Saccharomyces cerevisiae S288C: one gene and its partner. Changing the gene in region 2 together with the main gene of any one other region gives a genetic interaction. Each region holds a gene or a part of one and is shown on either strand. Other genes may lie near its edges. The genes, in order: PTM1 and YJR015W.

Evidence for each region.
Region 1: mutations in YJR015W (region 2) and PTM1 together harm fitness more than expected from each alone (negative genetic interaction), as found in Saccharomyces cerevisiae (2 studies listed by BioGRID).

Annotation. Positions count from the first base shown.
Region 1 is NC_001143.9:360,897-365,000, reverse strand, and holds PTM1 (Ptm1p), read right to left. Parts: upstream 2,380-4,104; coding exon 808-2,379; downstream 1-807. Other genes in the region: NFU1 (Nfu1p), read left to right, coding at 3,173-3,943.
Region 2 is NC_001142.9:460,815-464,813, reverse strand, and holds YJR015W (uncharacterized protein), read right to left. Parts: upstream 2,094-3,999; coding exon 561-2,093; downstream 1-560. Other genes in the region: dihydroxy-acid dehydratase ILV3, read left to right, coding at 1-363; TMA22 (Tma22p), read right to left, coding at 2,389-2,985; GPI14 (glycosylphosphatidylinositol-alpha 1,4 mannosyltransferase I), read right to left, coding at 3,221-3,999.

The DNA of each region.
Region 1 (4,104 bases), on a different chromosome or scaffold from region 2:
TGCGGCTTAACGAGCAATCACACCGAATAAAGTGATCCCGTAAAATGATATTCTACTCGGATGATCCGTTCCCTAGGAAGCGTAAGACAAGTAACTACAAATGTTGTCGCATGTATATTCTATTACTCAGAGCGTTTGACAAAAAAATCTTCTCCCTTTCATTAAAAACGAATCGAAGAGCTGGGTTTATAGCATTGTCACTAAGGACGTGGTCTCATCATAAACAAATAGAATATACATGTTATGTTACATAGGAAAGACCGAAAAAGCCAGAGAAAGCTAATAAGGTTAGCACTGATGCAGCGCGCAACCTTACGTTATCTGGCTTCGTTGTTCATCCTTGAACAAAGGGAATTCCTCACTTCTGGTCTTCCTGCGTCTCTTCTCATAAACAAGTACACATGAAAAGTCTATGGACCAATTTTCTCTTCCATTTTATAGTCGATGAACAGAAACTTTTCGCTTGTTTCGGTTTGATATAAATCATCTTATCACCGAAAAAAAAAAAACTCCAGCGAGCGGCTAAATAAATACAAAACGAAAAAGTTAGGTCTAGAGTATAGCATAGCTTTGGTGACTACAGTTATAAACAGGTAAAAGCACGCACAAATAAATGAAAAGAAACGTGCAACGCATTTATTTATTTATTTATTTATATTCATATTTATATTCATATTCATATTCACATCGCATTGAACAGAAGTGCATATGGTTCATAATTTCTTTCTTTTCGCTTGTAAACATTTCGTGACTGCCCTCGAAGAAACTATTTGTCTCATCACCTAATCAAATCTGCTGGAGGTAGCGTTATTTTGTTGGAGAGGGAGACACTGGCCCGTGGCCTTGGCTATGGTTATTTACATTATCGTGTCCTTCTTCATCATCAGTAAAATTCAAATTGAGGTCATCCTCGTCTATGCCACGCTCACCAGTGATGATACTTGCGTCATCTTGATCGTCAAACGATTGCAAATCGCCCAAGTCAAAGTCCGCGACATTTTCTGGGTCTGTGGGTAGTTGTTGGGATGCGGCTAGCATGTATGAAGTATCTGTTGGTCTCCATAAGAACGCGATGGTAACGAAAACAATGAAATACACTAACGTAGGCCAGAAATCAGTAACGAAGAACCTTGACCTCCAGTTCTTCTCAATCATATCAATAGTGTTCATGCCAACGTAAATAAATGACGAAACTATACTACCAGCTAGTACACTCAAAAAGGACGCATAAATGATGTATAGTAGCTTCTTGTACATGTTCAATTTTACGATCTGCCTTTGCTCTTTCAAATAGATAACTGTTTTTGTCATGGATCTAATAATCATGTAGTAAAATATGATTAATGCAAGCGCCATAGGAATCAAGGTGATCAAGATTAGTGGAGATGGTGCCTCCATGTCGGTCAAATAACTTTGGATCAAAAATCCAATGCAAATTGCATAAGTTAACGCACCATACATTTGGCAACGCCTCATCAACGTTTTATTCAACTTAGGGTACACGATACCGTAGCCCAAAGCGATAATCAATAATAGGAAAAATGAAAATGTAACTTTACCAGCCGTCAATATCGACAAGAACACCATATAAACTTTTATTCCCGCAGTATCACCTTTTTCATTTTTCAAATCATAGTAAGCCCATACAAATATGGTTTCTGCGGTTAAAAATACAAAAAAGGCCAGCAAATACTTTTGTAATGGTAACAATTCATGCTTGTGCTTCCAGAAGGCGAAGGAATATAACGCCATCGCCACAACGTATGCGACCGCCAAAAGACCATATAGTGGCAATTTGTTGATCTCGGTGCCCGCAAGCTGACCATAAGCATTCCTGAAATTCACCACAGCGTTGAACTTGGTAGACGTCGATGATCTGAACGCAGTAACACAATAAAATCCGGTTTCTTTTATTGGGTATCTAGTATCATGAAGGCCGACCTCATTTTGAGAAAACGTCATGATTGGATTGGCCAAAGATCTATTTGTGGAAGTATATGGATCATATACAACATCTTGAACAATAAACTCATCACGATTCTCCTCTTCACAAATCCCGATATCAATTGCATAATCATCACAAATATAATACATTTCTTCATCCGGCAATTGCACACCTAAGTGCTCAAAGTCTTGGAAATCATAGATTGCAACGACTAAGCCTGGATCAGACTCATCACTCAATCCACTTATTTTTTTAAGATTGAATGATATAAACGGGTCTATTTTGCCCTTCCAATCTTCTTTGGAATACATACCTGCGCATACTTGATAATTCTTTTGACTTATCTTTTCCTTGTTAGCTTTTACGAACACTAGAAGGTAGCATAAGAAGCAGGTGAATAATTGGAAAGGTCGGCAAAACTGATATACTCTCATTGTGCCCTTACACTCTTAGTTTCTGTAAATTTACTGCCTTTTTACCAGCTGTTTCTTGAAATTACCGAGAAAATATTCTATTTCAATTTTTAACCTGCAAAACCTGAACAGAATAGTTGATCCTCTTGACTATTAGTTTGAGGCTAAGTTTTTTTTTCCACTCTCCCTATTCCTACTCCTATATATATCTTGCTCTATCTTTTTCTTCAAGTTCGTTTTTTCACACACTATTTAAAAGACCAAGCTTATGTGTGACGTGCACGGGTGCAATATCTAAATCGGGCAAAACAACTAAGCAGTAATTAAAGTACCACACTCTAGCCGAAAAGAGGTATACATGAAGGTTGAAGATTCGGAAGCAATTCCCAAATTATGTTCAACATTACGGATATTACAATGTTCAATGCGCATAATACACCATAGAAGAAAATTGGCACTACGTATATACTGTCCATTGTTCTTTTAAACACAAAATTGAAACGTCTGCGGTCTCTTGAGGATAAAACAATGTACATTGAGTATAGTAACATGCTAAGCGTTAGCTTGTATCATCAAGACCGTCAAAGCAGGCATTTCATCAAATCTATAGGACCACTTAGCGGAGTCCTGGTGATTGTAGAAATAGCCTTCTAACGTATCAAGTGATAAATAATTTAAGTTTTCCGAATTTCAGTGATCTACTTACAATATTGCTTATTAATCATTATAAAAAGAAGCGTATTTAGCGGACTAATTAGAATACATAAGGCATTCTCAGCGTAATCTAAGCAAAAAAGCAAGAAATTGACTAACAATGTTCAAATCAGTGGCTAAATTGGGGAAGTCTCCGATTTTTTACTTAAATTCTCAGAGATTAATTCATATTAAGACTTTAACAACTCCAAATGAAAATGCTTTAAAATTTCTCTCCACAGATGGCGAGATGCTACAGACGCGTGGCTCCAAGAGTATAGTTATTAAGAACACTGATGAAAACCTCATCAACCATTCCAAGTTAGCACAGCAAATTTTTTTGCAGTGTCCAGGAGTGGAGTCTTTAATGATAGGTGATGATTTTCTCACTATTAATAAAGACAGAATGGTCCATTGGAATAGTATCAAGCCTGAAATTATAGATTTGTTAACCAAGCAACTTGCTTACGGTGAAGATGTTATATCCAAAGAATTCCATGCTGTCCAAGAAGAAGAAGGAGAAGGTGGCTACAAAATAAATATGCCCAAATTTGAACTTACCGAAGAAGATGAAGAGGTCAGCGAATTGATTGAAGAGCTGATAGATACAAGAATAAGACCAGCCATCTTGGAGGACGGCGGTGATATCGATTACCGTGGGTGGGATCCAAAGACTGGAACCGTTTATTTAAGATTACAAGGTGCATGTACCTCATGCTCTTCTAGTGAAGTGACTTTGAAGTACGGTATTGAGTCCATGTTGAAGCACTATGTGGATGAAGTGAAAGAAGTGATTCAGATCATGGATCCTGAGCAAGAAATAGCATTAAAGGAATTTGATAAGCTTGAAAAAAAGTTGGAATCGAGTAAAAATACAAGCCATGAAAAGTAAATATTCCGTCCTTCAAATGAAAATACAAGATGAGACGAAAATAAAAGGAAGTGTGTATATACTGTCTTTACCCTCACTATTACTTGATAGTCCGTACATGTTTCAACGGTCATCATGGAAAAAGGGTAAAGCACTCAACTTTTTCCATACACTAAAAACGG
Region 2 (3,999 bases):
CCAAGAGGTGCACCAGGTATGCCTGAAATGCTAAAGCCTTCCTCTGCTCTGATGGGTTACGGTTTGGGTAAAGATGTTGCATTGTTGACTGATGGTAGATTCTCTGGTGGTTCTCACGGGTTCTTAATCGGCCACATTGTTCCCGAAGCCGCTGAAGGTGGTCCTATCGGGTTGGTCAGAGACGGCGATGAGATTATCATTGATGCTGATAATAACAAGATTGACCTATTAGTCTCTGATAAGGAAATGGCTCAACGTAAACAAAGTTGGGTTGCACCTCCACCTCGTTACACAAGAGGTACTCTATCCAAGTATGCTAAGTTGGTTTCCAACGCTTCCAACGGTTGTGTTTTAGATGCTTGATGCATTATAGGCCCCAATCGATGAATATATATATAGAGATTCTCCTTTTCCATCATCTTTTTTGTTCGCAATCTTTTCATATATATATATATATAAATATTTATTATAGTCCATTGAATGGATAAACATTTATTTAAAAAAAAACAACGATCAGTATTTTTTTATTTGAAAAGTCGCCTTAATTATAATCTACGAAATTAACTCTGCTTTGCTGCCACTAAAGCCTTCTGTTTTAGTTTTCTACTAGCATACTTGCCAACAAATGGTAACAGTGCCGTATTCAAGGCAATGAGTGCGACTAAAATACCATAATTCCGACCCATCTTGCGTCTTGTCACGTCAAAAAAAATAACCCTGTAGATATCGATGACGTTGTGAACGGGCATCATGTACCCATATCTATAAACATTATTGTTTAGCGCTAATGGGAAGAAAGAAGGTGCAATATTGAGAATGACAAATGATAGGATCCAGAACCCGAGATACTGGGGTCCTAACGTAATAACAAGCATAACCGCATTTTCGTTAGCTCCTCCCGCAGCAAGCATGAAGAGCCACGTAGACATCCAATATACGACGAAGCCACCTCTACCAAAGGACTTGGTAAAATCGACTTGAAAGATGGCGGTTGTTGTGCAGAAGAACAAAGACGCAAAGAAAAAGGTGAACCATGACATAGCGATACGGTAAATTAAACCGTTGGCTGGTCTTAGCACTTTTGCCATTTCTACGTGTAATGGGCCGTACAATAGAAATTGGAAAAAAGTTAGCAGTAAACAGTAAACAACACCGATTTGTGTGGGTGCCAGTAGAATACGGTCTGTGAATGGTCTGTGGTCATAGTATTCGTAGTTATATTTACCTGCTGCAGCGATATACCTTGCATTGTTAGTTAGTGCATAACGATATACCTGGGTTATGTTTGTCAATAACGGCGGCAGATAATTTAGTGTGTAGAATGTATGGTAGTACTCTTCAATGGTCTGAGCAACCGGTAAAATCGTTGATTTTAGGTTTGTCGGGTCTCTACCAGTTTCATATACCACCTGATTAAACAGCGTAGAATTGAATAGTGGTGCGGTATCGTTGATTAGTGATTCAAATAGAGTCTCCGTGGCGTTTGGCTTGATATTAATGGCAAACCAGTATTTTTCGTCGTAAACCAAATCGACAACCTTGTCATTGACTTGCTGTGGCGTATTTACGTCGAACTTGGCCTGGAAGGTAGGACTGTTATAAATATCCCAATCACATGGTATTTTATTGATAAAAGTAGGCAAAGCATACGATATGGAGGGCACTACCATGGAACTGTTATTATCCAAAATTACCACAGGGGGTTCCTGGATAACAACCAGAAGCTTAACTTTGTGTAGATACTTGCTGGTGTCGTAAAGAGCCCCCCAGAACAACACAAACATTGTAAAGCAAATTATGGCCAGTAAGCAATTTGTGAAAACAAACTTTAAAAGAACTTTCTTCCTTTGACCCTGTAGATTAGGAGAAAAAAATGAGCCACTCGAAGGAGGAAACGCTTTCTTATCCTCGGAATTTGGCTCAGGGTCCTTCGAAGAATCCGTTGTTTGACCATCCATGTCTGGCACACCTTGTGAGACAGCATCACCGACCACGCTGGAAAGGTCATGTATATCGTTGCGTCTGCAATATTCCTCGTCCGCTTCCATATTATTATATGCTGTTGGTTCTATATCATCTAGAGATGAAGTCATAACTATACTTACTTACGGCTGGATTGAGTTGTGTTTTGTACGCCTATGGTCAACAACAAATTTTGCAGTTTTTCGGTTGCAAATAATTTGAATAGGCAATGGGGACTATATTTATTGTCCTACTACGAAGGTTTCAGAGAAGGAACGGCGCAGGCGCACGAGGGCCGGCTGCACAGTATATATGAGCGACGATCTCAAGAACGATATAGGGTTTGACTATCTAACCTACACGCCTGGTTACCAAGTAAAAAGTCCTTTTCTCCCAGAACGGTGCTATTACATATTTATGGATTGCTTACTTGGCAGCTCCTTCTGCAGCAGGCTTTTTCTTCTTCTTAGCATCGATGGTTTCCACTTTGACGTCCTTTAGGCCTTTTTCTTCCAGCAAGGAATGTATGTAAGTTTCCACTTCATCCATCACGTCACCTTGAATGACAACTTCTTCTTTTTTCTCTGCATTTTTCGAGACTGAGCACCCTGTGGCGAACCTAGACGCAAATGTCTTGGCTAGCTTTTTCATGTCGATGTCGAAAACTTCCAGCCCAGAGATAGCGACGATAAACTTTCTCTTGGTCCTAGCTTCTCTTTTAATGATCACTTTCGATGACAGCTTCTTAGCTAATTCTCTTTGTTCCCTGTTTTCCTGTTTTTTTTGAATTTTCAGCAAGTCCTTTTCCAACTTTTCCTCTCTAGCTTCGCCAATACTGGATTCAGCCAGTTTGTTGGTCACGGCTTCCACCTCTTGCGTATTATCGTCAGTACCGTATAGCTTTGCATAAAGGTCTGCGTGGTTTTCAGATAACCAAACTTTACAACGCTTTAATTTTCCTGAAAACTCGCAGTACTCTGGTGGGTAGGAGCAAATTCCACAATAGATGACTTCTCTTAACATTTTATGCAATATGCTTTTCTTTAGTTTAGCTCTTGAACTGTTTCCTTGGGGTGATTTTATCCAGTAGGAATTAATAATTTTTTCACTCACACATCACATCAAGTATCTTTTTCCTTTTTTTTTTCAGCTTTTTTCTCTTTTGGTGGTGCGCTTTTGCATTTTTTTTTTCATATTTACACATTCATTATATGAGTAGATTTATAGAATTGATGTACATGGTGCAAGTTCACGTCAGTCAGTTGTTCTTTTTGTTGGAAACTGTGGGTTGCGTCGGTATCTTAATATCAGTAATAAATTGACCCAGTAGCCACACATTGGTGACGAAAAATAACACGCTTGCAATAAATAGTCCAGGATAGAATACATTCTTGCCTTCGAATTCCAAATAGTAACCTTGGCTTAACCAAATTCCCTGCGTTCCTACCCAAAGCGTGGCCATTAAAAGCCCCTTCTTCCAACCAATGTGCGTTCTTGAGAGGTAAAATGGTAGAAAGATCAGGTACCAAACAAAATATTGCGATGTGCACACTTTATTATATGTCACAAATGCGAACGTCTGCACAAATAAAACCCTCAATAGGTTATCGAATGTGGGATTCCACCATTCAAGACATCCAGTTACTAAAACAAGCAGCAATTGAGGCACAAATGCGTACCTTGAGAGATTGGACTCACCATTTTCCTTATTTGCAGAATCTAAATACAATAGCATGTTCCACACTGAAAAATTGTGTCTGTGATCCGTTCTGTATAAGTGGTACAAGTATGCCTGATCCAGAAACTCGTATCCGTATATCTTGTACATTGCCCAACCACATCCAAGCAAAGTTGTTAGAGTACTCAAACCGATATTGAGTAGCGATGTAAGTTGTGTTCGTGGACCCTGGTTTCTTTTATTGTAGTATATAAAAATTGCTATTGGGATACAATATATGATTGGATATATTTTGAAATGGATAGAAAGACCATATAAGATTCCAGCTAGGGTGTATCTACTCTTTTGTAGAAAAAAAA